Stegostoma tigrinum: one gene and its partners. The protein of the gene in region 3 interacts with the protein of the main gene of each other region in a biochemical or structural test. Links are inferred from orthologs where the notes say so. Each region holds a gene or a part of one and is shown on either strand. Other genes may lie near its edges.

The links.
Region 1: the proteins of fga (region 3) and plat form a complex in vitro, tested with the Homo sapiens proteins (2 studies listed by BioGRID). The link is inferred for Stegostoma tigrinum from reciprocal best matches to the Homo sapiens genes FGA and PLAT.
Region 2: of the proteins of fga (region 3) and extracellular serine/threonine protein kinase FAM20C-like, one has a biochemical effect on the other in vitro, tested with the Homo sapiens proteins (2 studies listed by IntAct). The link is inferred for Stegostoma tigrinum from reciprocal best matches to the Homo sapiens genes FGA and FAM20C.

The regions. Positions count from the first base shown.
Region 1 is NC_081393.1:16,073,286-16,084,602, forward strand, and holds the start of plat (tissue-type plasminogen activator), read right to left. Parts: upstream 4,083-11,317; 5' UTR 3,968-4,082; intron 3,858-3,967; exon of another isoform or gene 3,678-3,857; intron 1-3,677. UniProt on the Homo sapiens protein: Converts the abundant, but inactive, zymogen plasminogen to plasmin by hydrolyzing a single Arg-Val bond in plasminogen.
Region 2 is NC_081376.1:36,614,257-36,625,077, forward strand, and holds the start of extracellular serine/threonine protein kinase FAM20C-like, read left to right. Parts: upstream 1-5,658; 5' UTR 5,659-6,351; coding exon 6,352-6,932; intron 6,933-9,030; coding exon 9,031-9,203; intron 9,204-10,821. UniProt on the Homo sapiens protein: Golgi serine/threonine protein kinase that phosphorylates secretory pathway proteins within Ser-x-Glu/pSer motifs and plays a key role in biomineralization of bones and teeth.
Region 3 is NC_081354.1:53,994,234-54,005,116, forward strand, and holds the start of fga (fibrinogen alpha chain), read right to left. Parts: upstream 5,365-10,883; 5' UTR 5,293-5,364; coding exon 5,239-5,292; intron 3,661-5,238; coding exon 3,544-3,660; intron 3,455-3,543; coding exon 3,271-3,454; intron 2,698-3,270; coding exon 2,552-2,697; intron 1-2,551. UniProt on the Homo sapiens protein: Cleaved by the protease thrombin to yield monomers which, together with fibrinogen beta (FGB) and fibrinogen gamma (FGG), polymerize to form an insoluble fibrin matrix. Fibrin has a major function in hemostasis as one of the primary components of blood clots.

The DNA of each region.
Region 1 (11,317 bases), on a different chromosome or scaffold from region 3:
TGCATTTATCAGAGTTGAGTGGTCCCTCAGCGCTGCCCCTGTAATAGTGCAGCACTCCTTCAATATTGTCACTCCAGCTGGCTGATTACCCTTAATACTGCCCTTGACAGTGCAGAGTTATTCAGGTACTGATGCCCCAAGTGTGTAACACTGTCTTAATTCTGCTCCTCCAATAGTGAAGCAAGCCCTCAAAGCTGACCCTCTGACATTATAGTGATTTCCCCCAGACTGTACTTCGACAGTGCAGTGTTCCCTCAGTACTGCAATGGAAAATCAGCTAAGTACTTTTGCTGTAGCTGCTGGAACTTGAATAGACAACCTTCTAACTCAGCAGCTAGATGGCTACCAACTGAACTGATAACGCTGCAGTCCTGAGATCTTGACAGTCAGTGGGCTCTCTCTATAGCTTGGAGGAATAGCTTTCCCTTTTTATTCTTCTCTGGCACTGAGGCCTTTGTTCTGGAGGATAAACCCCATGCCCACATCTCTTGCATTCTATCTCCACTGCAGCCTCCCTGTGTATCCTCTATCTTCCTGTCACCTCATTCTGCTCTCTCTCAATATTCCTGCAGCACTATTACCAATCACTGCGCTAGTTAATAGGTTACCAGAGATGGGATAGAAGAAGGGGAAATGGTTGTATTATGAGCAGTCTTAGCAACTCATTGATCAGACATTGACATGTTAATCACAATTTCAAATTGCAGACAATGCAAGTCCAACATTTCTCTGCTTAATATGGTCAGGAATGAGATTGGGGATGTGTGTGTTAAAACGTTACTACATTGTGTACCTACAGCACAGCTGTCAGCCACACCTTGTAGTGGTCTGGCTTTCCAAGGGTTGGGTGCGGAACAATGAAAACCACGAAGATATGAGGGGATCTCCAAGCATTCAATCACCTGGTATAGAACTGACACTCAAAGCTTGTGACTCAGAGATACTGGTTATCCACTGGTTCAAAGAGAAAGTTAACTAATTTTACTGTAGGTAGAAGTTACTAACACTGATTACTTGATTTATTGCTATCACCATTATAATCCAGCATGATATCTTGAATATTTTTCAATAAATCAGGAAGCAACTTCGAGTCTGATGGAGGGTCCTTTTTCAGCTTCTGATGAAGGGTCTAGGCCTGAGACATCAGCTTTCCTGCTCCTAAGATGCTACTTGGCCTGCTGTGTTCATCCAGTTCTACACCTTGTTATCCCTTGAGTCTGATGGAATTTAGTTGCCAAAAACGTTCATCTCCTCCTCCTCCTTTTGTTTCACCATGGACAGACTTGACTTCAGCTGTTCTCAACTTAAATTCAGAAATTTACTACTGATACATCTCTCTTTTCTCTTTCAAAAGCCAGTTTTCAAGGCCTTATGGTTTGGAATTTCTTCCCTTTGCACCTCTCTCGCTTCTTCCTTTAAAGCCATATTCCACCTCTTTAACCAAACCCCTCCATGCCATTGTTGATGCCAAGTTTTTCAGCTTCTTAGAATATCATCTCAGCTGTTAATTTACACCACCTTGTGGCATTGTGTTGATGGAGTCCCTGACTTGAGTTGGAAGAGACATAATTTCTCACCAATTGTTCAGAATGCATCTGCTGCTAGACTTCAACTGCTATGTCCAGGATTGACTCCTGAGCTGCACATAGGATAAGCTACTTGATGTGGTTTTCAACCAAACTGAGGTCGCTGCAGTCACTGCACAGGATACTTACCACCGTATGATCCCAGTGCCCCTCATCAGCCCCAGTCATAAACTACTTGATTGTCAAATACATTGATTGCTAATTTGGTTTCTTTGTTTCAGATCAGAACACAGCATCTGATTAAGAGAATAAAGAACATCCTCTTCTGTTTCTGGTTGCAGAATGACCTCTACAGATCGGTGGTTTGGATCTGTCCAGATCATGCAGGCAGCTGAGGAACATCCACACATTTATCATTGCAATGGTAGTTATTCTTACATTGCACTAAGGAATGGTTTGTGTAGCATCTCTAGTGTGATTTAGGTGGGTTGTTAAGGATGCTAATATCTCAGTATTCTCGGCCTCCAAAGCATATTATCCGTGTGCATATATTCTATACAGATGTAATCTGCACAATTTAAAGGCTTTTGGGTGAATAATTGATATCTCCTCCTCCCCAACAGATGCATGTGCAGAATGACATGGAGATAACAGACTGGCAAAAGGAGAATGCTCTCAGCCGAAAGACAAACTCAATGGAATGGGGTCCACGACTACTATCAATGATTTAAAAGAAAACAAAAAACTTTGGATGCTGGAAATCAAGTGATTATTGCAAAATCCTGTTTGATTCATTGATGCCCTTTCGGGAAGAAGATTTGCCATTCTTACCTCATCTGGCTTACGTAAGATTCCAAACTCATAGCAATGTGGTCAGTACTTAAGTGCTCCCTGAAATGGCCCAACAAACCACACTGTTCCAAATCAATTAGGGATACACTATAAGTAATGGCCTTGCCAGCAGTGGCCACATCCCAGAAAGGGATAAAGAAAAATAATTGTGGTAACTACAACCGTGAAACAGTAATGTTTCAATCAGGTGGTATGCAGTGTAGGGGGAGCTAACCAGGCTGTGCCTGTCCCAGTTTAAACTTGGGAGATTGCACGTTGGGGTTAACTAACTCCTCAATCAAACTGGTGACTGAACAGAGATAGTAAGAACTACTGATGCTGGAGTCATAGATAACACAGTGTGGAGGTGGAGGAACAAAGCGGGCTAAGCAGCATCGGAGGAGCAGGAAAGTTGATGTTTTGGGCCAGGACCCTTCTTCAGCTTTCCTACTCCTCTGATGCTGCCACACCTGCTATAATCCTCCAGCTCCACGCTGTTTCATTGGTGACTGAATAGGCCTTGCAGCAGTCAGATATCTAACCTGAGCACTTCTTCCTCCTATAATAGTAATGCTGGCCTGTAAATTTGAATTTAGTAGGAGATACATGGCAGTGCTCACACTGAACATGTTACATTCGCGCTGTTTCAGAAAGTTCACAAACATTAAAAATTTACCTCCAGCCAAGTGTTTGTTACCCAGGAATAGTTGATTGCAGTGGCCAGTGTCAGTTCAGATAACCCCGGGTGCGTTTATCTCTACTGAGTTAATGTAGTTCGTTACAATTGGATTGGGCTAATTCAGTTAACCTGGATTAATTCTTGTAGCCCAGGTTACCAAAACCAGAGCAGTAATTTAGTTATTGCAGATGAGTTTGTTTGGTCTTGGTTAAAACAGCTTGAATTGAGCTTGAATGCAGAGTTCAATGCAGTTTTTGTTCAGTTAGCCTGGATTTGTTGTATTAATCCAGAATAAAGTTATTAGCCAAGGTTAATCAATCAGGATTAAAACCAGAATTTTCCACAATGCTACCAGACCTGCTGAGCTTTTCCAGCAATTTTTATTTTTGTTTCTGATTCCAGCACCCACAGTTTTTTTCCCCTGATTTTATTTAGCTCATCGGGATGATTTTAGTCTGCCAAATTTGGTACAAACTAACCAGATTGGTTAAATAATTATCCCGGATTAGTTAATATAGGCTAATTTAGTTAGCTAGGGTTGTTTTAAATGAAACGGGTTACTTAAAGCTAGCTACTGAATTTAACCCGGATTAGTTTAGTTTGCTAGGGTGCGCTAACCTGGACCATGTGATGACATTTCCCCCCCGGGCAAGAACCCGGAAGTTGAGTTTGGCGAGAATTACAAACATTCTGGGGTAAATTCGAGGAGGGCGGCAGAAACACCACCTTGTAAAAGGATCAAATCCAAATTCTCTGTTCTGAAGTTTCTAGAAAGAGTGAAGAAGAGACACAGAAAGACCCCAGCCCGCAGCGTGCCTTGGGTAAGCGACTTTCCCCCCGCCCCGCGACCCGTTTACCTTTCCTAGCGTCTGTCTAAATCTCCACTTTACCGTGGGTTTGCTGCAAGTCATTGGAGAAAATCATCTCTCACCGTAATTACCCAAGGGAAACCGGTCAAAGAACTCATTGGCTTGTCTTGACTTCATATTCAGCATATCTAGAGGGACGGGTTACAGGAAGTTGCTCTCTCAGTCCACCAGTGTGTCCTATCTGAGTCAGCCAGTGATTCCCATAATCTCAGATTGCATCGTGGCCACACTTCTCGGTCTGCCAGTGTCTCCCCGAGTTTCCATCTGCCAATTATTTTCTGAGCCCGAATTTACCAGTGTGACCCTATCTGTCAGTGTCTCACTCTGCCAGTGTGTCAGTGTCTCAGTCTACTATTGTGTTTTTGAATCTCATTCTGTTAGTGTGCCCTTGTCTCTCAGTCTGCCAAGCCATCCACATCAGTAAATATGGTATCTCTGTCAACCAATGCATTCCTGTCTCTCTGTACAATATCAGGAAATCGCAAAAGGCATTGTTATAGCCAGAGCTGTGGGCACTGTCAATATTCTAACAAGAGTACTAAGCACTTGTGTTTTGTCATTAGCTGTTCCAGTGCAGCTGCTACACTGACAGTGTGGAAAATTGTCCAGTTATGTCTTGTGCGCTAAGAGCAAGACAAACCAACTCGGCCAATTACAACACCTGATGCCCACCCTACCCCCAATTGCCCATCAATCTCCTCTTGATTGTTGATAAATTGGTGGAATGTGTCATCAGTTGTCATTGTTATCAGCACAGAAAATGAACAGAGCATTAGATAGAGTTATTTGAAACTGTTAAACATTGCATAAATGAGTTTTTTGCTTCTGTCTTTACGAAAGAAACGAACTTTGTAGTGAATGAAACCTTTGAAGAGCAGGTGTGCATGCTGGAATGGATAGAGATAGAGGAAGCTGATGTGCTGAAAATTTTGTCAAACATTAAGATTGACAAGTCGCCAGGCCCGGACCAGATTTGTCCTCGGCTGCTTTGGGAAGCAAGAAATGCAATTGCTTCGCCACTTGCGAAGATCTTTGCATCCTCGCTCTCCACTGGAGTCGTACCTGAGGACTGGAGAGAGGCAAATGTAATTCCTCTCTTCAAGAAAGGAAATAGGGAAATCCCCGGCAATTATAAACCGGTAAGTCTCACGTCTGTCGTCTGCAAGGTGTTAGAAAGGATTCTGAGGGATAAGATTTATGACCATCTGGAAGAGCATGGCTTGATCAAATACAGTCAACACGGCTTTGTGAGGGGTAGGTCATGCCTTACAAACCTTATCGAGTTTTTTGAGGATGTGACTAGAAAAGTTGATGAGGGTCGAGCTGTGGATGTGGTGTATATGGACTTCAGTAAGGCATTTGATAAGGTTCCCCATGGTAGGCTCATTCAGAAGGTCAGGAGGAATGGGATACAGGGGAACTTAGCTGCTTGGATACAGAATTGGCTGGCCAACAGAAGACAGCGAGTGGTAGTAGAAGGAAAATATTCTGCCTGGAAGTCAGTGGTGAGTGGGGTTCCACAGGGCTCTGTCCTTGGGCCTCTACTGTTTGTAATTTTTATTAATGACTTGGATGAGGGGATTGAAGGATGGGTCAGCAAGTTTGCAGACGACACAAAGGTCGGAGGTGTCGTTGACAGTGTAGAGGGCTGTTGTAGGCTGTAGCGGGACATTGACAGGATGCAGAGATGGGCTGAGAGGTGGCAGATGGAGTTCAACCTGGATAAATGCGAGGTGATGCATTTTGGAAGGTCGAATTTGAAAGCTGAGTACAGGATTAAGGATAGGATTCTTGGCAGCGTGGAGGAACAGAGGGATCTTGGTGTGCAGATACATAGATCCCTTAAAATGGCCACCCAAGTGGACAGGGTTGTTAAGAAAGCATATGGTGTTTTGGCTTTCATTAACAGGGGGATTGAGTTTAAGAGTCGTGAGATCTTGTTGCAGCTCTATAAAACTTTGGTTAGACCGCACTTGGAATACTGCGTCCAGTTCTGGGCACCCTATTATAGGAAAGATGTGGATGCTTTGGAGAGGGTTCAGAGGAGGTTTACCAGGATGCTGCCTGGACTGGAGGGCTTATCTTATGAAGAGAGGTTGACTGAGCTCGGTCTCTTTTCATTGGAGAAAAGGAGGAGGAGAGGGGACCTAATTGAGGTATACAAGATAATGAGAGGCATAGATAGAGTTGATAGCCAGAGACTATTTCCCAGGGCAGAAATGGCTAGCACGAGGGGTCATAGTTTTAAGCTGGTTGGTGGAAAGTATAGAGGGGATGTCAGAGGCAGGTTCTTTACGCAGAGAGTTGTGAGAGCATGGAATGCGTTGCCAGCAGCAGTTGTGGAAGCAAGGTCATTGGGGTCATTTAAGAGACTGCTGGACATGTATATGGTCACAGAAATTTGAGGGTGCATACATGAGGATCAATGGTCGGCACAACATTGTGGGCTAAAGGGCCTGTTCTGTGCTGTAATGTTCTATGTTCTATGTTCTATGTAAATTTTAAAGAAAGAGGTTGAAGATTCAGTAGCCACGTGGCACAAGTTCAAGGTGACTAACAAAAGAACACAGTGAAAAGTTATTTTGCAATAACTGATTTGGGTTTGGAATGAATAGTCTTGGGCTGCTTTAAACAGAATCAATATTTTTTGCACAAGTGAACTGCAGAATTACTTGGAGCAAAGATTGAGGATGCTTGTTAAGGAACAGGGAATAGGAATAACTGGATTGTTTGTCAGGAACTGTCATGAACTTGATGAGCTAAATGGCTGTGCAATCATTTTCAATTTCATAAAATCACTACAATGTGGAAACAGGGCATTTGGCCTAACACATGCACACTGCTTCTCTGAAGCGTCCCACTCAGACCCATGTTCCTACCCTAAGAACCTGCATCTCCCATGGCTAACATACTTAATCTACACAGCCCTGAACACCAATAAACCAGCACAGCTTTGGACTGTGGGAGGAAATCGGAGCACCTGGTGGAAACCCACACTGATGTAGGGAGAACATGCAAATTGCACACAGACAACGCCAGAGGGTGGAATTGAACCCAGGTCCCTGGTGCTGTGAGGCAGTAGTGCTAACCACTGAGACACTGTGCTGCCCAATGATTCAATGACAGTGCTTTCAGATACCACATCCTCACCAATAACCCTCTCACCAATGTTTCGTTAGGTTTCCGCCAGGGCATTTGGCTTCTGTTCACATTGCAGCTTTGTTCCAAACACTGATGAGGGCTGAATTCAAAAGGTAAGTTGAGAATGACTGCTCCTGACATTAACGCAGCATATGACCAAGCATTACATCAAGGACCCCTTCCTAAAAAGCATTTAATGAGCACGCTCCATTAGTTGGAGTCCTGCCTAGCACACAGAAGTACTGTTGTATTTGTTGGAGCCAATCGTCTTTGTTCTCAAACATCACTGAGGAAGGTCCTTGCTGGACCCGTTCCTAGGCCTACACTACAGGGTAGATATTTTCTATTCAACCTGTTCACACATAAAGGGGAGATGATGGCCTAATGGTATTATCGCTGAACTGTTAATTCGGAGACCCTGGTAATGTTTTCAGGACCTGATGGCAGATGGTGGAATTTGAATTCAAAAAAATCTGTAACTAAAAGTCTAATGATGACCTTGAAACTATTGTCAAATATTGGGGAAAAACCTATCTAGTTCACTAATGTCCTTGAGGGAGGAAAATTGCCATCTTTACCTGGACCAGACTGCATGTGACTGCAGACTGATAGCAATGCAGTTGACTCTTAACTGTCCCTAATGGGCAATTAGGGATGGGCACTAATGTTGATCTAGTCAGCCGTGCCCTGTTCCTGAGAATGAATTTTAAAACAAGAATTATTTCACACTTGGAGCAGGTAGGGCTTGAACTTGGGCCTCCTGGCTCACAGCTACCACAAGCCCCTTGTAAGAGTCCTTGGCCAAAACATCATCTGCTGTTTCATTGACATTCCCTCCATCATAAGATCAAGCATAGAGATGGTCACAAATGAGTGATATTCAGTACCATTTGTAACTCCTCAGAAACAATGAGGGCCCACTTACAACATTACCTGGACAAGATTCTGGCTTAGACTGATAAATAGCAAATAATCTTTCTCTTACAAGTGTAAGATTTCAAATGACAGAGAATCTGTACTCTTCCTGTCTTTACTTTCTGGCCATTGGTGTTCAATTGCTTTAACACCAGGTGGTCTGATCAGCAAGTTTGCAGATGACACTAAGATTGGTGGAGTAGCAGATAGTGAAGGGGACTGTCAGAGATCACAGCGGAACATAGATATGCTGGAGAGTTGGGCAGATAAATGGCAGATGGAGTTCAATCCGGGCAAATGTGACGTGATGCATTTTGGAAGATCAAATTCAAGGGCGAACACTACAGTAAATAGAAAAGTCTGAGGGAAAATTGATGAACAGAGACCTGGGTGTTCAGGTCAATTGTTCTCTGAAGGTGACAACGCAGGTCAATAGGGTGGTCAAGAAGGCATATGGCATGCTTTCCTTCATTGGACGGGGTATTGAGTACAAGAGTTGGCAGGTCATGTTGCAGTTGTATAGGACTTTGGTTCAGCCACATTTGGAGTACTGTGTACAGTTCTGGTCGCCACATTACCAATAGGATGTGGATGCTTTGGAGACGGTGCAGAGGAGATTCACCAGGATGTTGCCTGGTATGGCGGGTGCTAGCTATGAAGAGAGGTTGAGTAGATTAGGATTATTTTCATTAGAAAGATGGAGATTGAGGGGGGACCTGACTGAAGTCTACAAAATCATGAGGGGTATAGACAGGGTGGATAGCAAGAAGCTTTTTCCCAGAGTGCGGGACTCAATTACTAGGGGTCATGAGTTCAAAGTGAGAGGAGGAATGTTTAAGGGAGATATGCGTGGAAAGTTCTTTACACAGAGGGTGGTGGGTGCCTGGAACGCATTGCCAGCGGAGGTGGTAGACGCAGACACATTAGCATCTTAAAAGATGCATTTGGACAGGTACATGGATGGGCAGGGAGCAAATGGACACAGACCCTTAGAAAATAGATGACAGGTTAGACATAGGCTCTCGACTGGCGCAGGCTTGGAGGGCCGAAGGGCCAGTTCCTGTGCTGTAATTTTCTTTGTTCTTAACACTGCTGAATCAACATCCAGGGGTTCCCAATGACAAGAAACTGAACTGGACCAGCCATATAAACCATATGGCTTTGAGAGCAATTCAGAGGCTGGGAAGTCTGCAGTGAATGACTCACCTCCTGACCACCTAAAGCTTCTCCACATCTGTGGGTGCACCAAGACAGCACATTATCAGCAGGTCAAGAATGTGGTTCATGACCACATGCTAGGGAAGTTATTTGTTTATTTAGCATGCATATTATCATGGAACCACGAAATAACCTTGCCAATGGCAAGATGGAATTTTTAAAGCCAGCCTTCACTTTAGTCAGAGGACACTCCTTGACAATGTGAGTTCTTATTTGGCCTGCATCGTAGAAGTGATCTTGATGGTCTTGGTTGGTTGGTGCTGGCTTAATTTCATTTCTAATTCTTGGAAACACTGGTGTAATTTCAGGCATTTCAATGTGATTGGGCATGATACCAATGTGCAACTTGTGTTACTATTTAGAACACCGTCGGGAAGCAATTCTTCACAAAGTTGGGGGTTAAATTCTGGAATTCTCACCCTCAAAAAAGCTGTTGAGGCAGAAGTTCAATTGAACACTTTAGAATGGAGATTAGCTGACTTTTGTATTTATTTTCAAACTTTAATGAGATGTGGGCATTGCTGACAAGGCCAGCATTTGTTGTTAGTCCCTAAAAGCCATTGAACTAATTGGTTTATTGAACCATTTGGTAGAAATAGTTAAAAGGCAACGTCATTCTTCTGAGCCAATAGAATAGACCAGGCAAGGACAGCAGATTTTGTTCCCGAAAGTACATGAATGAAATTGATGACTTAGTCAATGATAATTATCATAGTCTCCACAATGACACCAGCTTTCAATTCCAGATATTATTCATTGAATTTAAATTCCACCAACTGCCATGGTGGGGTTTGAACCAGTGCCCAAAGAGTATGAGCCTGAGCTTCTGGATTACTCATCAAATTACACTACCATTACATCTGCTCCCTTTAAGACAAGGTATTAATAGATATAGAACCAAGGTGAGTAGAGGGAGGTAAGATTCAGATTAACCATGATTTGATTGATGAACAGAACAGGTTTGAGGGGCTGAATTGCCACCTCTTGTTCCTCTTTTTCCATTGAACAGCAGAATTTGCTTCTGCAAACTATCATAATTCCATTTTGCTTCCGTAATAAACAATAATTCAGGTTGAAATTAACAGTCACTTGGACAAATGTGAACTAATGCAGCAGCATGGATTTGATGAGGGCAAATAAATTATTCGAGTTACTTCATGACGTAACACAATGGGTAAATAAGATAATGCAACACATAGATAACTAGGTTGTCAATAAAGCTAAAGATCATGGATTAAAAGGGATAGTCGCGTTCACCCTGTTAAGCTCTTTAAGAATCCTTTATGTTTCAATGAGATCACTTCTCATTCTTCTAAACTCCAGTGAGTAGAGTCCCAACCTGTTGAGCCTTTGCCCATGAGACAGTCCTCCAAACTAGGGATTATCCTAGTGAACTTTCTTCGAATTGCCTCGAATGAACTAACATCTTTCCTTTAAATAACAGGACCAATATGCCCACAGTGCTCCAGATGTGGTTTCACCAGTGTCTTATACAATTATAGTAAAACTTCCCCACTCTTATAGACAAACCACCTTAAAATAAAGAGCCAACATTCCATTAGCCTTCCTAATTACCTGGTGTGCCTGTGTGATAGCTTTCTGTGTTTTGTGCACAGGGACGGAAGATTTGAATTATAAACGTAGGCTGGGATTTCTTTCACTGGAACGTAGGAGTTGAGAGGTGACCTTATAGAGTTTATAAAATTATGAAGGTTATAGATAAGGTTATTGGTAGCTGTCTTTTCCCAAGGATGGGGATTTCACGACTAGAGGGCATATCTTTAAGGTGAGGGGAGAAAGATTTTAAAGACATGAGGACCAACTTTTTTTATGCAGAGTGGTTTGTGTGTGGAATGAACTTCCAAAGGAAGTAGTGGATGTGAGCACAGTTACAATGTTTAAAAGACATTTGGATACGTACATGAATAAGTTTGGAGGGATGTGAGTCAGGAGCAGGCAGGTGGGACTAGTTTAGTTTGGCATTATGTTCAACGTTGACTGGTTGGACTGAAGGGTCTGTTTCCATGCTGTATGACTGAGTGAATCTAAGTGCCCCTGAGTTTCTTTAGTGTTGAAGCTTTTTGCAGTGTTTCTCCTTATAAATAATTTTTTTTTGTTCTCTCTTCTAAAATAGACAA
Region 2 (10,821 bases), on a different chromosome or scaffold from region 3:
AAGACACCATACCTCAGGAATACTATGTTGGTTTTGGCAGTGTAGTTTCATTAAAATAATACTGGGCCTGAAGAGTTTATATGATGTGGATGGTTTGCAGAAACTCGACATGTGTTCCCTTGATGATAGAAAATAAGTTTCAGTTTTAAAATAAGGGGTCAGCCGTTTAGAACAGAGTTGAGGAAAATCTTCTTCTCCCACAGAGTGGAATGGAATGCTGTGCCCCAGAAGTCAGTGGAGACCAACTCTCCGGATACGTTAAAGAAAGAGATGGATGGAGCTCTTAAAGATAGTGGAATCAAGGGTCATGGGGATAAGGCAGGTACAGGATACTGATTGTGGATGATCAGCCATGATCATAATGAATGGTGGTGCTGGCTCGAAGGGCCAAATGGCCTACTCCAGCACTTATTGTCTGTTGTCTAATAAAGGACTAATGAACTAAACTAAAGTGTTTAAGATAAGGCAGGCAGAGGTGAACACTTACTTCTGTGGGGAATAGAGCCCAGAACAAAGAGTATAACCTTAAAATTAAAACTGAACCATTCAGGACTGATTCAGGAAGCATTTATTCACAGATAAGGTGATGAAAATCTATAACTGTGCCGTCTGAAAGCCTGGAAGTCCATTTGAAAAATTGCAAACTGAGTCTAACTTTTTTTTGTTAGGTAATGGTATAAATCAATATGAAGCTATGGGGTGGGGACAGGAATTAAAAGCAAGAATCTGTCATAGAGTCATACAGCATGGAAACAAACCATTCAGGCCAGCTAGTCCACACCAATCACGTTTCCCAAACTAGTCTAGTTTCATTTGCCTGTGTTTGGCGCATATCCCTCTAAACCTTTCCTATTCAGGTACCTGTCCAAATGTCTTCTGAGTGTTGTAACTGTACCTGCATCCATCACTTCCTCTGGCAGTTCATTCCACACACTACGTTTGTGTGAAAAGGTTGTCTCTCGGGTGCCATTTAAATGTTTATTCCTCTCACGTTAAACCTGTGCCCTCCAGTTTTGGACTCCCCAAACCTCGGGAAAAAACCTTTGCTATTCGCCTTCTTGATGCGCCTCACGATTTTGTAAACATTTACAAGGTCACCTCTCAGCCTCCATCACTACAGTGAAAGATCTCCTTAAAATCCAAACCCTCCAGTCCTGGCAACAGCCTGGTAACTGTTGTCTGAACCCTCTCCAATTTAATAATTTCCTTCCTATGGCAGGGAGAGCAGTAGTACATACAGTGCTCCAAAAGTGGCTTCACCAACATTCTGTACAACCTCAACATGACATCCCAACTCCTATACTGGAAGGTCTGAGCAATGAAGGCAGGCATGCTAAACACCTTCTTAATCACCCTACCCACCTCTGATGCAAACTTCAAAGAGCTATGTACCTAAACCCCTAGGGCTCTGTTGGACAACTCTACCAAGGGCCCCAAGATAATAAAATGTGAGGCTGGATGAACACAGCAGGCCAAGCAGCATCTCAGGAGCACAAAAGCTGACGTTTCGGGCCTGGACCCTTCATCAGAGAGGGGGATGGGGAGAGGGAACTGGAATAAATAGGGAGAGAGGGGGAAGCGGACCGAAGATGGAGAGTAAAGAAGATAGGTGGAGAGAGTATAGGTGGGTCCTCTACCAAGGGCCCTACCATTAACTGCAAAAGCCCTGCCCTTGTTTGCTTTACCAAGATGCAATATCTTAATTAAACTTCATTTTCCACTCCTCAGCCCACTGGCCCAATCTTTTTGTTATCTTTAGATAACCTTCTTCACTCTCGACTGTGCAACATGATTTGATTGAAGGATAAAATGGGACTCCAGGACTGAACGGTTTCCCCTTTCAAGCCTGTTGCAATGTCAAGATGAATAGATTTTGGATTATCAAGCATTCACCCAGGCGGTGTTAATAAATATGCTGTTAAATTCGCCTACGTGACGATGGTTAGTGAACTTCCAAAGCCGTTCATTCTAAGAAGGTCTCGATAAGGTGCTATATAAATTCACCGACAGATAAACGCAGTGAAATGATATTATTGGCGCCCTAGCCCATCCTCCCATCCAAAAAAATGAGGTGCCGAGACGATCTTGCGCGTTTAATGAAATCTACAAGGGTTGTTTTAACAGAAGTTGAGAACTCTTGAAGTCCCACATTGTTCAGCGGCACGGCCAAGAGGTTAATTATTTTCCGAGATTTATAGCTGCATCTAACCAGGCACTCACGGCTACGACCTGCAAATTTGCAAATTGCTTTCGGGCTGGTTGTCAAAGTGGCAGATAAGAGAGAAATCTACTGTCCGTGTGGACAAAGAGGTATGATACTCCATTCAAATTATACTCGTTATCGGACACGCGCAAAATAAACGAAAAATGTCCTTGTGAAACAAAATAATCACCTTTCTCGTGCAAATATTTTTAATCAGCTTGTTCAAACACGTTGTAATACGTCTTAGGCAGGATGTCTCAAAGCCGGATCTTCTGTGCCAGAGATGGGAAAATTACCACTGTGGCACAAAGGCTCTAACCTTCCCCTTGCAGGCTGCTGGCCCGCTGTGTTCATCCAGCTTCACACCGTTATCTTACAGAGAGGGGACTTTGTTGGGCGCGATCCGCCCTGTTTATGGAAGACTGAGAATTGTACATTCATGAAAGGATTCACAGCAGAGATGGAGGCCGTTCCGCCCATCAAGTCTGTGCCCGCTTCGAATGAGTCATGAGTGGCGAGAAAACGAGACGTGCATTTCTGGGCAGAGATAATGGGAACTGCAGATGCTGGAGAATCCGAGATAACAAAGTCTGAAGCTGGATGAACACAGCAGGGCAAGCAGTATCTTAGGAGCACAAAAGCTGACGTTTCGGACCTAGACCCTTCATCCCGAGACGTCAGCTTTTGTGCTCTTAAGATGCTGCTTGGCCTGCTGTGTTCATCCAGCTTCACACTTTGTTATTGTGCATTTATGGGATCGGGACTATATATTCAGAAATTGAGAGAAACTGGTAGGTTCAGACTAATCTGCGCTGATTGATTTGATATAATAAAATGTGAGGCTGGATGAACACAGCAGGCCAAGCAGCATCTCAGGAGCACAAAAGCTGACGTTTCGGGCCTAGACCCTTCATCAGAGAGCAACGATTGATTTGATTTTTTTTTAAATGGGTCATCGCGTGAAACAGCCGGAAGGAGATTTTGGCCATAACTTTCCTCTCGTCGGAAGGTGATCTCCTTTTAACACAAGGCGCGGAGTCTCTCCTTTGGAGCAGTTAGGATGTTATGGGGTGGAGAACGGAGAGTGAGCAGTCATTGTGGTCACCATCTCAAAGTAACTCTGCTCCTACCACCTCTGCCTGACGTCGGTACTGCAGGCTGCCCGAGTCCTGAGGGAGAGAGATCACTGAGCAATGTTCTTGTGGACTGGGACGTAATTAAAGTCTCTATCGCTGCTGCTAAAATGACAAATCCATTAGCCGAAGGGCTACCTTAGCGATTAACAAATACCTTCATTTTTCTTTCAATATTGGTGCCTTGTAAACTACCAATGTTCTGTCATTGTAACAAGAGATGCACTCAGGGCGATTTCCTTGCGTGGTTCAAATATATAGAACAATACAGCGCAGAACAGGCCCTTTGGCCCTCGATGTTGCGCCGACCTGTGAACTAATCTAATCCCCTCCCCCCTACACTATCCCATCATTATCCATATGCTTATCCAAGGACTGTTTAAATGCCCCTAACGTGGCTGAGTTGACTATATTGGCAGGCAGGGCGTTCCACGCCCTTACCACTCTCCGAGTAAAGAACCTGCCTCTGACATCTGTCTTAAATCTATCACCGCTCGATTTGTAGCTATGCCTATTTGTAGCTTTGTAACAAAAACAAATTTGCTAGAAAAGCTCAGCAGCTCTTGCAGCATCCGTAAAGGAAATCACTATTAAACTAGACAAGTTCTAACGGGCTTTACTGCTGGGCTGAACCTGTGGGAAGTGTTGAAGGAACCAATGAGGTGGAAAAGACAGCAAGAACTATATAATCTGTATCTCTCGCAATGTCAGAGGGTGATGGACGGGATGAGTCATGACGGGCAGATTTGCAGTGAGAACGTTCGGCAGACAGGGAGGGAGCAGACGGATCCCCCGGAAACAGCACGGAGATCTCTCTTCACGATGCTGTCTGGCCCTGCTGAGTCTTTCCAGCATTGTCTGGCTTTATTATACGTTACCCATCTGTAGCGCTCGTTCAAGAGGGACTGGGTTTAACAAGCAGAAACTGAAGGCTGTTCTCTTCCTTACAGGCAGTTGGATTGCAACTTCCCCAGGGTTTTACACATTGTCTGACAGCACATAGTCGAAACGAAGAATCCCGTCAGTTCCGAACTTTTAAGGTTATATGAATATTATACAGGTTTAGAGGGATAGCAGGAACTACCGATGCTGGAAAATCTGTGATAACAAGGTATAGAGCTCGATGGACACAGCAGGCCAAGCAGCATCAGAGGAGCAGGAACGCTGACATTTCGGGTCTAGACCCTTCTTCATTTTCTGAAGAAGTGTCCAGACCTGAAAAGTCAACTTTCCTGCTCCTCTGATGCTGCTTGCCCTGCTGTGTTCACCCAGTTCTACATCTCGTTATCTTAGCTTTAGAGGGATATGGGCCACAAACTGGCAAATGGGACTAGATTAATTTAGGATATCTGGTCGGCACGGACGAGTTGGGCCGAGGGGTCTGTTTCCGTGCTGTACATCTCTGCGATTTTAAATTGTCAGAGTATTTGAATATTCAATGTGCGGCGGGGGTTTATCCCATTTTACATTGGCCATGTTATAGCGATTATAAAAATCAACCTGCTCTTCAACTAACTCGGCAGCAGCCTCAAAGCAGCTCATTTTTCGCCCTATGGATTGTACAGTCCTGCTATCAGTTGCTAACAAGATCCAGGGTTCATCTGAACATAAAAGTGTCAGAATAATGTCATTTCCTCGCGATCTGTTCTGACAGGGAAAATGAAGGCGGCCGGCCAGCGCGGAGACTTGGCTCGGGCAATAGGGACTGTTTGGAAATCAGTCAGGAACAAGGAGACACATTCCACAGGCGAAGTTGTGCAAGGCTGACTGTTTCTGGCTGTGGATCCCTGTCTGTCTCTCTCTCTCGTCTGTCTTTCCCTCCGTACGCCTCCCTTTCTCTTTCAGTCTCTTTCTTCTTTTCTGTTTCCCGTCTTTCTGTTTCTCCCTCTATCCGCCTCTTTCTCAGACCCCTCCCCTCGCCTACCATCCCTGTCTCCCCACCGCCACCTCCACCTCGTTCAGCTTGTGCCTTGCTTTCCCAGTGTCTCTGCCTCTCCCTCGATGTACCTACTTCCGTTTATCCCCTTGTATCACTATATCTCTTTCCATAAATTGTGTTTTCTCGGTAGTTCTGTTTCTTTGTTGGGGGGGGGGGGGGGTGGCTCAAGAGGCCGGTGTGTATGTGCGGTGGGTGTGGAAGGGGGCGTGTGTCATGTAAAGCCGGCCCTTCACTCTGATTGGAAGCCGCGGTGGATGCGTGTTGCCTGAGGTCCTGACTGGGGAGGAGGGGATTTGAAGCTGGCATCAGTTTCCCAACACGCGGGAGTCCAGCCCTCCTCCCAAACGTGACGTTTTCCTTCCCTTCACTGGGGGACGGCTAAATAAAACATTTGCACATCTGGCAGGCTCATAGCTACTGGACTCACACACACATACACACACACACAGACACAGAGGGAAAGACGGAGAGCAAGAGAGATGTTCGCTGCAAGGCTTCATTCACTCTGATCCTGTGACAATCTCACAGCCCCACACCTCTCTCCTTGGGCTGACACATGCGAGGCAGGAGCCTGAGAAGAGAGCGGAGCTGCCTCGTCCTGTTGGAGGAGGGTTTGTAACTGGGCAGTGAGGAGTTTCAACACTGCTCCTTGAGGTGGAGGAGAGACGGGCGGAAGATTTCGTGTGTCTTATGTGTTTCATTTGGACACTCGACCATTGCCGAGGGGTCGCCACCGACATTACATTTTAAAACAAAACATGTTTTAGTTTTCTTCGGGGTGTCTGTTGTGTCTGGTTTTCTGAGTCAATGGAAGGTTAAGGACAAAAAGGAAAACAAACACACACTGCGCCAAATAGATACATTTATTTTCCGCAACTGGGAAGCGCCAGGACTAACGATGGAGACGGGCTCAATGCGGATCCTTCCAAATGAAACGGGCCGCTCTGCAGCTGAATTGAAATCGTTTTAATCTCTTTTAATTTGTTCGGGAGCCTGACTTTTTTTTCTGAGCACTCCCCACCACCACCCCCACCCCGCCCAACCCCACTCCACCTCCCGTCGGCCCGATCCCAGCAATGATGCTGCTCCGCAGATTCCGGGTGCTTATCGTCACGGTGTTTCTGATCGCCTGCACCATGCACATTCTCATTGACTTGCTGCCCAAGCTGGAGCGGAGACCGGAGCCGGGGCTTTCCGGAGGAGGGGCTGGACCGGGCTGCCCCTGTCAGCACCGGGACTCGCTGCTTGTTGGTCCCGAGCTGCAGCCGGGGCTCCCGGCCTGGGGCAAGCCACTAGCTGGGGCCGCTCCTCCAGGAGGGGGTGCCGGAGGAGATGCTGTTGTCTGGCCCAACAAACACACCCTCCGGATCCTGCAGGATTTCAGCAGCGACCAGGCAGCCGGATCGAACCGGAGCGGCTCGCAGACCCTGGCTAAGGCTGAGGAAACCGGACTGAGAGCGGGTGAGGAGCACTACAAGAGGCTGATCCCAGATCGGGTCCTGGAGGCTGTAATCCGAGCTCCCGGCCAGTTCTCCAAACTGACTGCACTCTTCAAACATCCTCTGTACCAGAGCCCGCTCCCAGCACTTACTCAAGGAGAAATCTTGTTCAACATTAATACCGACATAAAATTTAACCCTAAACTTCCCCGCGACTGGTAAGTGAGTTTAACTCGTTCCCGTTTACCCTGCAGTCAGTTCTGTCCCTGGGCTCACTCATGCGGGAAGCCGAGGACTCAGCGCTCACTCCAGCCCGTTCCCCCTCCCTCCCTCAGGCTTTGTAGACGCAGCCCCTACCGGTTTGATGCTGTCGAGAGCTCCGAACTCTCCGTGATTCTCACCCGCCCCCCCGGTCACCGAGAATCCCACAGCCGCCGGTGCAGATCGAGGAACTGTGCGAATTTCTTGAAGACTTAGCTACAGACACCGAGAGCCACACCAGGACATTAGTGCACAGGGAGAGACAGAGAGAGAAAGAGAAAGAGTGGCAGGGGAATAAGTGACAGTTAATGAAAAGCAGTCAGACTCAGAGAGCCAGGAAAATTGTCAACAGTGAGCGAGGGAGAGAGACGGGGCGACGGGGACAGAGGGAGAGGCAGAGAGAGTGACAGCGAGCGGTTGGCAGAGAGAGAGAGAGATAGGGATAGAGACAGAGGGAAACAGAGAGAGGTGAACAGACAGCGATTTAGAGACAGAGACAGCGTCAGAGAGGTAGTGGGAAAGATAGAGACAGAGACAGGCAAACGAGGAGAGGGAGAGCGAAAGGCAGAGAGAGAGATGGAGACAGCAAAAGACAGAAAGCGAGACAGAGGGAAAGGGAGAGAGAGATATAGCAAGTGCGGCAAACAAAGAGAGAGAGAAAGGTGGCCAGAGAAAGTCAGGGGCCAAAGAGAGAAGCAGACCAAATGAGTGATGAAGGGAAGACAAAAAGAGACTAAAAGGGACGCTCAGAGGGAGACAGATAGACAGAAGGACAGACAAGACAAGCAGGAACACACAGAGTTGGGGAATATACGGTGACAGAAAGATGCAGGGGAAATTGAGCGGAGAGACGGAGAGAAAATGTAAGAGAGAGGGAAGAAAGATCGAGGTAAAAGCAAAGCTGCGAAGAAATTCTCACCCTCATAAAGAAGCTTTTCCCGGATGCAAGCTGTGCTTTTGTATCTCATCCTTTCGCCTGCATGGAGTTCTGTCTTTGAGATTGGTATCCCGTACATTTCTAAACCTCTGTAGAGGAACTATCGTTCTGGGCGAGTAAATAGCACAGAATCAATACATTCCCTATCCACCTTTCCCCCCTTTAACATTAAAAAAACCTTCGTCTTCCGCAGAACCAATCTCCGCCAGGTCACCCTCTGTGTTACTGACACAGCGTTCAATGTGGTTTCACTGAACACTGGTACCAGAGTATTATGGCTGTGACCAGGAGCTCTCTCAGCTACATTGACCATCCTCTGCAGCTCTCTAGCAGTGTCCGTGTCTGCCTGTGCCTGCTCTCTCCGTCCTCTCCCTCTGGACCTCACTCTCTACCTACTCTCCTTTCACACCGCTCTGCTTTCTTTGTCTCAGTCATCCCATTGCAACCTTCTTCACATCTGAGATCACTCGCCCTGCTCGCTCTTCCCATGAACTTTGTACCTGTTTCTCCCAGCCCTCTCTTTCCAATCGCCTTATCTGAAGTCATAGCTTTCCTTGAACAGGTTACCGCAGGCGTTATTTTTAATCTGGCATCGCCAGCACCTGGGACGGTATTAGATACCGGGTAGGATCTCCTCTGGTATGGCCAGGCTCTTGTGGAAGGGGGAATTGAGTTTCTGTCGCTGTCGGATGTATATGTAAGAAGCATTCTGTCTCCAAAGTCAAGGACATGTTAAAACTATTGCCTCAATTTTACACGTTGAGGGTCAGATCGCTATTCACAGAAACAGGATTTCCTGGTTTTACAGTCACCCAGTCTGTGTGTCAGCTTATTTTGAAGCTTCGTTTCGGTGGAATTTTCTCTGAGGGCTAAGTGGAAGCGAACTTGGACGCGCCTCTACCCCCGCTCCCCCATCTGTACTTCCCTCTCTTGCTTCTCCTCCATTTCTCGCCCATCTTTCTCTCACACTGTTGTTGTCCACCATTCCCACCTCTTCCCTTCCGTTCCTTTGCTCTCATTTTGGCTGTTTATATCACAAACAAACCCCCTTCCCCAAGTGGTACGGTGACAATGTCGCCAGTAGGTTTGATTCTCCTCCCCCATGCATTCTCTTTCAGGGTGAATGAAGATGAGGAGGGTCTTGCAGCGACTGGCGATCCCCCCATAGACTCGTACCCCAACTGGTTAAAATTTCACATCGGGATAAACCGCTATGAGTTATATTCTCGCCACAATCCAGCCATTGAAGCTTTGCTGGAAGATCTAGTGAGCCAGCGGATCTCCAGCGTAGGTGAGGAAAATCTCTATTTGAATAACTGCTCCCTTGCTCTACCGTGCTTCTTTGTTCTTGCATATTCCGCAAACGCCCTTCCCCGCCCCCGAACTAATTAGACCTTGCTCCCAGTGTCTCAGGATGGAGAAATGCAGTTGAATGTAATCTGTCTTTGTCAGCCGGGATGTAATGAGATAAATTGGAAGCGAGTGCACCTCGGAGGATGCGATACTAAGATTATGGATCTCTCATTGAAAATTATTCCTTGTCTGAGATCATTATCTCTAGTAAGAAGTGCCAGAGAGTGGAGGATGGGAGTTAATAGCTTTTTGGACTGACTTATCCAGCAAATAAATAACATTGATGTCTCAAAGGAGAGATGTGAACAGATACTGCAATTTCATTATATACAAATCTTAAGGTGAGGTTGCTGAGACTCTGTATCCTGAATATGATTTCTAACAAGGATGGTGGCTGAAAGCACCATGCAAATATTTCCAATTCACATGATATGCTGTAGTATCTTAAAAAGCAAGGATAGATCTCATGGAAAACAGGGACAACCAACCTTCTGGATACAGAACTAGCGTGAAGGTAGTGGACAGAGGGTGGTGGTGGAGAGTTTCTTTTCATACCAGAGGCCAATGACCAGTGGTGTGCCATTGGATCGGTGCTGGCTCCACTGCTTTTCATCATTTACATAATTTTTTTTGGATGTGAACATAGGAGGCCTGGTTCATAAGTTTGTAGATGACACCACAATTGGAGGTGCAGCGGACAGTGAAGAAGGCTACCTCAGAGTACAATGGGACGTTGATCAGATGGGCCAATGGGCTGAGGCGTGGCAGGTGCAGTTTAATTTAGATAAATGTGACGTGCTGCATTTTAGAAAGGCAAATCAGGGCTGGACTTATACACTAAATGGTAAGGTCCTTGGGAGTGTTGCTAAACAAAGAGACCTTGGAGATCAGGTTCATTGTGAAAGTGGAGCTGCAGGTAGGATAGTGAAGAAGGCATTTGGTATGCTTGCCTTTATTGGTCAGTGCATCGAGTATTGGAGTTGGGAGGTCATGTAGTGACTGTCCTGGACATGGGTTAGGCAACTTTTAGAATACTGTGTGGAATTCTGGTCTCCCTGCTATAGGGAGAATGTTGTGAAACTTGAAAGGGTTCAGATTGTTTTACAAAGATGCTGCCAGCTTTCGATAGTTTGAGCTGTAGGGAGAGGCTGAATAGACTGGGCTATTTTCCCTGGAGTGTCAGAGGCTGAGGAGTGACCTTATAGAGCTTTATAAAATCATGAGGGGCATGGATAGAGTCAATAGACAATGTGCTTTCCCCAGGGTGGGGGAGTCCAAAGCTAAAGGGCATTGTTTTAAGCTGAGCGGGAAAAGATTTAAAGGGGTACTGAGAAGCAACTTTTTCACAGAGGGTGGACTGTGTATGGAATAAGCTGCCAGAGGAAGTGGTGGAGGCTGGTACAGTTACAACATTTAAAAAGCATCTGGGTGGGTCTGTGAATAGGAAGGATTTAGAGGGATATGGGCAAATGGAACTAGATTTATCTAGGATATCTGGTTAGCATGGACAAGTTGGACCAAAGGATATGTTTCCATGCTTTCCCTCTCTATGACTC
Region 3 (10,883 bases):
AATGCTAATCTGAAACTAAAAGAAAACTGTTTTCTCACCCCAAGCTATGGATGTTTAACCTAAACTCAAAAAACAATTCCAGAATCTGAGAGTGCGATGCATTGCATTGTTTACTTTGTTTGCTTGAAAATTCTCCCAATGGAAATGGAAGCCGACTGCTCTAAAACTACTTCTCTCAGACTGCATTTTTAAAGAGAAAGTATTATGGCTGAGGAAATACTTGCAGGTTCTTTCTCGAGGACTATTGACAAGGTGCCATGCAGGAGGCTGCTAAATAAGGTAAGAGCCCATGTTGTTAGGGGCAAGGTACTGGCATGGATAGAGGGTTGGCTAATTGGCAGAGACAGAAAAGGGGACTTTTTTCAGGATGACAGCTGGTGGCTAGTAAAGTTCTGCAGGGGTCTTATTGGGACCTCAATAATTCGGTTATACATTAATGATATGCACAAAGTGGCTAAATGCACTTTTGCTAAGTTTGCAGACAACACAAAGATAGGTGGATGGAGAAATAGTGTTGAAGAGGTGGCAGAGGCTGTAGAGGGACTTGGACAGACTAAGAGATTCCCTGGCCCCAAACACCTCATTTTCACCATGGACGTCCAGTCCCTATACACCTGTATTCCTCATGCAGATGGCCTCAAGGCCCTCTGGTTCTTCCTGTCCCACAGGCCCGACCAGTCACCCTCCACTGACACCCTCATTCTGCATAGCCGAACTCATCCTCACCCTCAACAACTTCTCTTTGGCTTCATCTCACTTCCTACAGACAAAGGGGGTGGCCAAGGGTAAACGCATGGGTCCTAGCTATGCCTGCCTCTTTGTAGGTTACGTGGAACAGTCCCTCTTCTGCACCTACACAGGCCCCAAACCCCACCTCTTCCTCCGTTTCATTGATGACTGAATTGGTGCCGCCTCTTGCTCCCAAGAGGAGCTCAAACAGTTCATCCACTTCACCAACACCTTCCACCCCAACCTCAAGTTCACCTGGGCCATCTCCAACACATCCCTCACCTTCCTGGACCTCTCTGTCTCCATCTCAGGTAATCAGCTAGAAACTGATGTCCATTTCAAGCCCATTGACTCCCACAGCTACCTAGAATATACCTCCTCCCACCCACCTTCCTGCAAAAATTCCATCCCCTATTCCCAATTCCTTCGCCTCCACCGCATCTGCTCCCAGGATGAGGCATTCCACTCCCGCACATTCCAGATGTCCACGTTCTTCAAGGACTGCAACATCCCCCCCACAGTGGTCGAGAACACCCTTGACCGTGTCTCCCGCATTTCCCGCAACACATCCCTCACACCCCGCCCCCAACAAAAACCGCCCTAAGAGGATCCCCCTCAACCTCACATACCACCCCAACAACCTCCGGATACAACGTATCATCCTCTGACACTTCTGCCATCTACAATCCAACCCCACCACCCAAGACATTTTTCCATCACCACCCTTGTCTGCCTTCCGGAGAGACGACTCTCTCCGCGACTCCCTTGTCTGCTCCACACTCCCCTCCAACCCCACCACACCCGGCACCTTCCACTGCAACTGCAGGAAGTGCTACACTTGCCTCCACACCTCCACCCTCACCCCCATCCCAGGCCCCAAGATGACTTTCCATATTAAGCAGAGGTTCACCTGCACATCTGCCAATGTGGTATACTGCATCCACTGTACCCAGTGTGGCTTTCTCTACATAGGGGAAACCAAGTGGAGGATTGGGGACCGCTTTGCAGAACACCTATGCTCGGTTCGCAATAAACAACTGCACCTTCCAGTCACGAACCATTTTAACTCCTCCTCCCATTTCTTAGACAATATGTCCATCATGGGCCTCCTGCAGTGCCACAATGATGCCACCCAAAGGTTGCAGGAACAGCAACTCATATTCCGCTTGGGAACACTGCAACCCAATGGTATCAATGTGGACTTCACAAGCTTCAAAATCTCCCCTTCCCCCATTGCATCCCAAAACCAGCCCAGCTTGTTCCCCGCCTCCCTAACCTGTTCTTCCTCTCACTTATCCCCTCCTCCCACCTCAAGCCACACCTCCATTTCCTACCTACTAACCTCATCTCGCTTCCTTGACCTGCCATCCTCCATGGACTGACCTATCCCCTCCCTACCTCCCCACCTATACTCTCCTCTCCACCTATCTTCTTTTCTCTCCATCTTCGGTCCGCCTCCCCCTCTCTCCCTATTTATTCCAGAACCCTCACCCCATCCCCCTCTCTGATGAAGGGTCTAGGCCCGAAACGTCAGCTTTTGTGCTCCTGAGATGTTGCTTGGCCTGCTGTGTTCATCCAGCTACCCGCTTTGTTATCATGACATTAATAGTTACTGTATTAGGGTTAATATTGTAAATAAAAATGGCAGACTTTGCAACTTTCAGAGTGAAAGCATTGCACTTTCAAAATGAATAATAAATAGACCGCAGTGGCTCACGAAGGCAGCTCAGAACTACCTTCTCAAGGGCAATAAGGGACGGGTAATAAGTGCTGGCCAGCCAATGATGTCCACTTCTCACAAATAAACGAAATAAAAAATTACCTCCAGTCTTGAGACAACCTTGAATTGTTCTAACATGTTATCTTTTAGTATTTTTAACTTGAGACTTTGATCGTTAGTTTTGTTCTGCAACATGGTAAGCCTGGAATTCAGATGATCCACCAACTGATAATAAGTGTCGCCAAGTCCTAAAAGATGACAAATAAATTCTTCTATTTAGTTTTTCATTGGGTTCTGCAAGTACATTTTTTAAATAAATTAGTAATTTGAACTAAATCCAAATGAATGTCGAAGCTGCATTTCCTGAATCTGAATTAATTGGGAGGGGAATTTTGTAGTTGCACAATCCTCAACGGATGCGCTATTGTGATAATCTGAGTTTGTGATTCAATTTTAATTTGTATGGAAATAAAAGCTGACACTTTTAAGAAACATGAACAGAGGAACGGCATAGTCACTCAGTGGCACAGAGCCAGGGATCTGGGTTCTATTCCACCCTTGGGCCACTGCCTGTGTGGAGTTTGCACCTTCTCCCAGTGTCTGTGTGGGTTTCCTCCAGGTGCTTGCAGTTTCCTCCCACACTCCAAAGATATGCAGGCTCGGTGGATTGGCCATGCTAAATTTCCTGTAGCATTCAGGGATGTGTAGATTAGGTAGGTAATGCGGGATGGGTGGGATGCTTTGAGGGTCAGTATGGACTTGTTGGGCCAAAGGGCCTGTTTCAACACTGTAGGGATTCTACGTTTCTATAAACCACTCACCACCTATCTTGCTTAGAGTCTGTCTGATTCTGTTGACAGCTTCAGTCGCAGTAATATGGGTATTCTCAAATGCTGTGGAATATATGTCCAACATCTGTCGAATTGCTTGGATCCTGTTATCAGTTTGTTGATTCTCAGTCTTGATTAATCCCTGAATTCTACACCCAGATGGACATTTAGAGCCCTATTGAATTTAGGCAAAATTATAAAATATTTTAGTTATTTGCAATGTATAATTTCTCAAAAAAATGAAGTGACAACTGCATTACTTACCCAGTCACAATTCATACAAATCTGCCATTTCTTCTCTGAACACTGAGTAGATTTAAATTGGTCGCCATTTCCAATGGGTTGAGGACCCCAAGGTGCAGGGGAAGACTGGGCCTGAATCTTCAATTGTAAGAAATCAATAAAAAGGGAATCCTTTGACATATTCGACACTGATCTACAATCATCAACCTGGCATGTTCCTTTGAACAAAGATAACAATGTGTAGAGCTGGATGAACACAGCAGCCAAGCAGCATCAGAGGAGTAGGAAGGCTGACGTTTCAAACCTAGATTAGGCCCAAAACATCAGTCTTCCTGCTCCTCTGATGCCGCTTGGCCTGCTGTGTTCATCCAGCTCTACACCTTGTTATCTCAGATTTTCCAGCATCAGCAGTTCCTACTATCCCTTGAACAAGGGATAACTTATGTGTGAAAATAACATATTCTCTTCAATAACAGACTCCATTGCTTCACGAAATTTACAATCATGATCAGACAGCATTTATGGCCTCACATAATAAAATGCATGAAATTCTTCTAAACATTGGATATATTTTCATGTTTTCACTGTTGAAAACAAGCATTTAAAAAATCCATGCATTTACAGTAAGAATACAGCACTACAGTAAGAAATAAATAGCTTCACTTCCATTGGGAAAAATTGCAGATAAAGTGGGAGCTTAAATCTTTTTGACTAGGTGTCAGAGTGGTAGAGCATGTCACCTTACTGTTGTTCCATCTTTGATTTCAAAAATTTTATAATTTAAAAATTTGAGCATTAAACATACTTCCCATGATGTCATATTAATTTGGAGTGAAGCTACTTGAAGTTATAGTAATAGGCAACTGCCTGACAAACATACTGAATTAAGAGACCAAATTGTACAACAGAAGCAAATAAACTCCATGATGGCTAATTTATAATATTAGGAAATAGCAGGTGGGAGTGTCCACTTCCTCCTTTCTTTGATCTTCTGGAGAAGGTTCAGTCTACCACCTTGGCTTTCTACCAGAATGGAGTAAGAATGCATTTGGAGCCAAGCCAGATTGTTATGAGATGACCTCTGTCTTCTGTCTGTACCTCAGGACACTTGATATTTCTTTGGAACCTCACTTCCATGTTCTACCCCAATTTTCACATCAATATGGACCCAAAACTACTTGACATGTGTGAAAGTAGCTGTATACATGAAGCCTTAACAACACATGAGATAATAATTGCGTATGTTTTATGCTCACTTCACTGGAGATGATAGTAATGACATCAGAGATTATAATAACCTTTGATTGAATATTTTGTTTTCCACGGAGATGATGTCATTATACTCATACGACAAAAACTGATTTTCCTTCAAAGATTGATTCTTATATTTTCCAAACCTACTTCCTGCTGCAAATCACAATCACAGTGCCCCTACATTCACAAGGACCAATCTGCAAAGGGATATAGCGCCCCATTTCACTTCATTAAATTTACCTAAATCAATACGGATTAATTGCCAACATGTTACAGAAAGACCATTACTTTTGAAGTGTAATGGGATTTGATTTATATCCCACTCTCAATACAGTTCACAACTCCTTCCTAACTTTGTTATGAAGGAGTTATTAGGTTGGCCTACTCTCAGGATATAAATCAGAGCCGCTGGATCTTCACAATGTATCCTCTGTGTATGACTTATTCATAAGGAAAACTTACCCAGTCAACTAACATGAAGCATACAAACAAACCAAAGGCTTGTTTAGCTCTCATCTTTCTAGTTCTGCAGCAAGGCTTTGAGGAAAAGTCACTTCTCTCTCCCTTACACCAAATTTCAAACCTACAAAATCGTGATCAGTCAGTGTTAGTGGGAAACCTGTTTACCTAAATTGTGGAGGCCCTGTTGATCATTTACCACCGAGGCCTTTCTGAAATTCTTGGGTTTTTTTTCTGATGCTTTGTTGACGCACCAAAGGTCAATAGATGCTAAAGCCTGTGAAACCTTTAAGCAACTACAACATGGAATTTCTGTGGCAACTCCACTATGTTTTTAATACAGATGGCTCAACAACAAGTATAGGTAATAGCACTGTGGTATTGTTGCTGTATGTATAAACCAGAGACCAATGTAATGTTCTGGAAAATTAGGCTTGAAATCCATCATGTGCAATTTGAATTGATAGTAATTTGTAATTAAAAATTCCTTCACTGTCGTTATCACAATATTCTGCAGTTATCTCCCTAAGGGCATTGTGGGTCACCCCACAGTACCATGGAGTGCAGCAGTTCAAGAGGCAGCTCACCACGACTTTCTCAAGGGCAACTGGGGATGGAAAATATATCAGAGATAATAGGAACTGCAGATGCTGGAGAATCTGAGAAAACACGGTGTGGAGCTGGATGGACACAGCAGGCCAAGCAGCATCTTAGGAGCAGGAAAGCTGATGTTTTGGGCCTAGACCCTTCACCAGAAATAGGGGAGGGGAAGGGGATTCTAAAACTCTCTCATCCTCTATCCATCTTCTATCCACCTCCCCCTCTCTCCCTATTTATTTCAGAACCCCTTTCCCCTCCCCCATTTCTGGTGAAGGCCCGAAACGTCAGCCTTCCTGCTCCTATGATGCTGCTGTTCATCCAGCTCAACACCTTGCTATCTCAGATTCTCCAGCATCTGCAGCTACTATCATCTCTGAAATATTTTTAACCCCACTGCAAAGTCTCTTCTAAGGATGCCTACCCTGAAGAAGTTACCCTCCTCCATCGAGACAAACCTCAGGGAATCTCTCTCCCACTGCAACTCTCTCGTCCTCTATCCATGGAAAATATATGCTGACCAGCCAGCAACACTCACGTTCTATGAGTTAACTAAAACAAAAAGTACAAGATGCAGACTGATGTTAGCCTATTAGTCAGTGCCATCATGACAATGCTCTTGAATCTGACAGTGTATCATAATCGGTCATATTTCAACCCATAACTGTACAGCCTTACTGGAGAACATTAGAGACACAAATGTCCATGCTGTAGAAGAGGATTTTAATATCAACTCACGGGATGTGGACACTCCTGACTTATGCCTTGTAGATAATGGACAAGCTTTGGGGGATCAGGAGGTGAATTACTTGATGTTGTACACCTAGCCTCTCAACTACCCTTGTAGACTTTATGTTTATGTGGCAAGTCCACTTGAATTTCTGATTAATGGTAACCTTGAGGATGTTGATTGTGGGGGATTCAGAGATGATGACACCATTGAATGTCATAGCTCGGCACTTGTGTGGTGTGAATGCTACTTGCCGCTTATAATCCCAAGCCTGGATATAGTCATGATCTTGCTACCTTTGAATACGGACTGCTTCAGTATCTGTGGAGTCACACATTGTGCTGAACATTACACAATCATCAGTGACTATCCCCACTTCTGACCTCATGATGGAGGGGTGGTATTGCTATGCTTACCACTATAAGGTCAACCTTCAGCGTTGAGCCATCACTTGGACCTTTGTGTGCTTCTGCAGAACACTGCATCTTGGCAGAGGACAGCAGACCGTGAAACTTCTCACCGCACTCATTCCAAGATCTTTTGTGGTTCACCTCTTGTCTTCAATGGTGGCAATCTCCTGCTATGCCTGGTTGGTCTCTGTGCACATGTTCTGCTGACCACTCAAACATGCTATCCTCGGCCAGGGTCTGGAGGTGTCACTCTTACTGATACATTGACACTGGCCACTTTGCGATATTTGGGCATGACAATGCAAAAAGCACACTGGTATATAAAACTTTCAGCTTTGATTGCTGCCATATATGATTTCTGCCTGCTTTCATACAGGACCAATATTCTCTAGTTCAGTAACACTTGTTATTGAGTATTGGAGGGCTATATGAATGCAGGGTGCTCTGATGTCTACTCCGATAACCCCAACATGGCAAGCTGTACTCCCCAAACATAAATTACCCTGGTGACTTACTCTCTCTGACTCATACGCTGGCCTGCAATGATCAAATGCCTATCTGAGACTTCTAGTCAAGGGTCATTTATCTGGCTGCACTCTGAATGGTGGGTAGCAAGAGATTAGGTAAAAGAGGCACAGATCCTGCTGGGTTGTTTGACAATTGTCTCCTGAGGTATTATACGGATCTGTTTAAGCCAGAACATTATGAATAGCTGATACTGATGTCTCTGTAACTATGGCTTGTGAAGCCTTTCCAACCTTAGCTTTCCAAACTGCACTCCTTCACTAAAAGGAAATTAGACTCCAGTAATCTCTAAACTCTCTAATGGGAGATCCATGATAGACAGTTCCTGCAGTGTAGGCAATTATTTGGGCAATTCTGACATTAATATGAACCTAACTCCTCTCATTGACATCTCCTCCTGGGATCAGCATTCTTCCAGGTTCTCCCTGGAAGAACACATTTTGGTTTGACAAGCACCTGCAACTTTTCTGTACTGATTTATTGTTACCTCATAATCCTTCACTAGAGCAATTTTTGTACCAGTCGGCACTTTTTAAGCATTTTCTTCTTGTACAGACAATAACAGTTGAACACCCATTCACACAAGAAATACCACAACCATTTCTTTTTCTTGGATTGTGAACATCCACAGAGCATTGCCTTCAGGGCCAAGTCATCGGACGTCAGTGACTAAACACAGCAGTATAAAATCAGAAGGATAAAATGTATGAACGAGAAAAGCCCATTTCATTAAATGTATTCTTTCTAGCATACATGGTACAATTTGCACATTCAAACACAACAAATATGATGAACAAGATCAGTAACCATAGTAAATATTCAGGAAGATAAAATGCCTATATAAGATAATCTGATCCAAAGATTAATTATTACAGCATTATGTTTTGAACCATGGACATTTATATTTTATGAATAGAATTTCCATGATTACAAAAGCACAGGAATTACTGTGTTCTGTGGATTTTGTAATGTTTTTCTGTGTTAACGTATCACTGTAGCCTTCAAATTCTATTGCGAAGTAGATACAGCATCAACTTTTTCTGAGTTAATGAACACAGTGTTTGTTACTTATTTTTCAGAGTTTATTTCACAAATATACTACTGTTTGTGTAAGAAATCAATATGTTTGGTCTAGACATGCTAATCTGCAAAGATGTCCTTTCAATCTTAAGTGATACCATAAGCTAAATAACTGACTGAACTATTGTCCAAGGCACTCATTAATTTACAGACCTTGAGCCTTGCTCCTTCATATAAAAAACAAATCAGGCTTTTTCAGTTTTCTCATGTGTTGATGTAAATCCACTGATGCCACTTTCCCAAAGGGAAATGTTTGAAGGAAGCTGTGAGGAAGGAATTCTATAGTAAGTGTCTTGCTTTCTGACTCCTCAGATCTTGACTACCATCTACAAGGCACAAGTCAGGAGTGTGATGGAATACTCCCCACTTGCATGGATGGCTGCAGCTCGAACAACACTCAAGAAGGTTGATATCATGCAAGACAATGCAGCTCGCTTAATTAGAACCACATCCACCAACATTCACTCCCTCCTCCACTGACACTCAGTAGCAGCAGTGTGTACTATCCATAAGGCGCACTGCAATAATTCACTATGGCTACCCATTCCATGACCACTTCCATCTAGGATGTCAAGTGCAGATAAATATGAACACCACCACTGCAAGTTTCCCTGCAAGCCTCTCATCTTCCTGACTTGGAAATGTATCATTGTCACTGGATGGAAATCCTGGAATTCCCTCTGTAAAGATACTGTGGGTCAACTTATAACACATGGACTGCAGCTGTTCAAGAGGGCAGATTTTGCCCCCACCTCCTCAAAGACAACTAGAGACAGGCATAGCCAGTGATACCCACATCCCATGTGTAAACAATATCCCTCCTCAAGAAAAAGGACCAAACTCCTTCTTTAATTAATTCACAGGATGTGGATGTCATTGGCAGGGCCAACATTTATCACTCTTCCCTACGAACCAAATACATTGCTGTGAAGTTGCACATCGGTCAAACCAGATAAGGATGGTGGATTTCCTTCCCGAAAGGACATTAATGAACCAGATGGGTTTCTCCAACAACCAGCGATGGTTTTGTGGTCATCAGTAGACTCTTAATTCCAGACTTTTATTGAAATCAGATTCCACTATCTGCCATGACATGATGTAAGCCCAAATCCCCAGAACAGCACCAGGGTCATGAAATCGATAGTTTATTGATAATGCAACTAGGACATCACTTCCCCTGCACCTTACCTCCCACTGCACACAGTACTCCTGATATGGTCTCATCAATGCCTCTTTTTATTTGCAATTTGATTAATTGCAAGCACAATTCCTTATTTTTACACTCCTTTCCTGTGGCAATAAACACCAAATTTCCATTACTTTCCTTATCATCTGCTGGAACTGCATGCTAACTTTCTACAGCTCGTGTACAAACACACCTAAGTTCCTCTGTACTGAAGCATTTTGAAATTTCTTTTCATTTAGGTAACAAGTTACCCCTTTTTAGTTTAGTGACCAAAATGGAAAATCCTCTCACCTATTTATGTTTAACTTCTCCTGGAGTGGGCCAAATTTTGGCCCATTCACCTAAGCTATCAAATCAATTTGTAAAATTCTTATGCAGAACAATTTACTTTCCCACCTATTTTTGTGTCATCTGCAAAACTGGCTCTGATATATTCTAACCTGCATCCAAATCATTAATATAGTGTGTAAATAGTTGGGCCCCAAGGATCAAACCCTCTGGCACCCCACTAGTTCAGTTTGCCAACCAGAAATAAACTTATTTATCCTGACTTTCTGCTTTCTGTTGGCTAGTCAATCCTCTATCCAAGCTAACATATTACCGTGAACCCCAAGTGATCATACTTTGTGTATTAACTTTTTGTGTGGCACCTTTTTAAATGCCTTCTGAAAGTCTAGAAACGCCATCTACTGCGCACCCATTGCCCACTTTGTTCATTACATAGAATCCCTTCAGTGTGGAAGCAGGCCATTCAGCCCATTAAATCCACACCAACCCTCCAAAGAACATCCAGCCCCATCCTCATATATTATTCCTGTAGTCCTCTATTTCCCACAGCTCATCCATCTACCCTGCATATTGCTTGACGCTGGCCAATTTAGCATGGCCAATCCACCTAAAATTCCCATCTTTAGACTGTGGGAGGGAACTGGAGCACCCAAGGGAAACCCATGCAGACACAGGGAGAATGTACAAACTCCACACAGACCAGTCACCTGAGGTTGGAATCAAATCCAGACCCCTGGCGATGTGAGGCATCAGCACTAACTGCTGAACCACTGTGTCACCCATCTTCAAAAAACTCTGGTAAAAGAATCAAACATGATTTCCCCTTCATAAA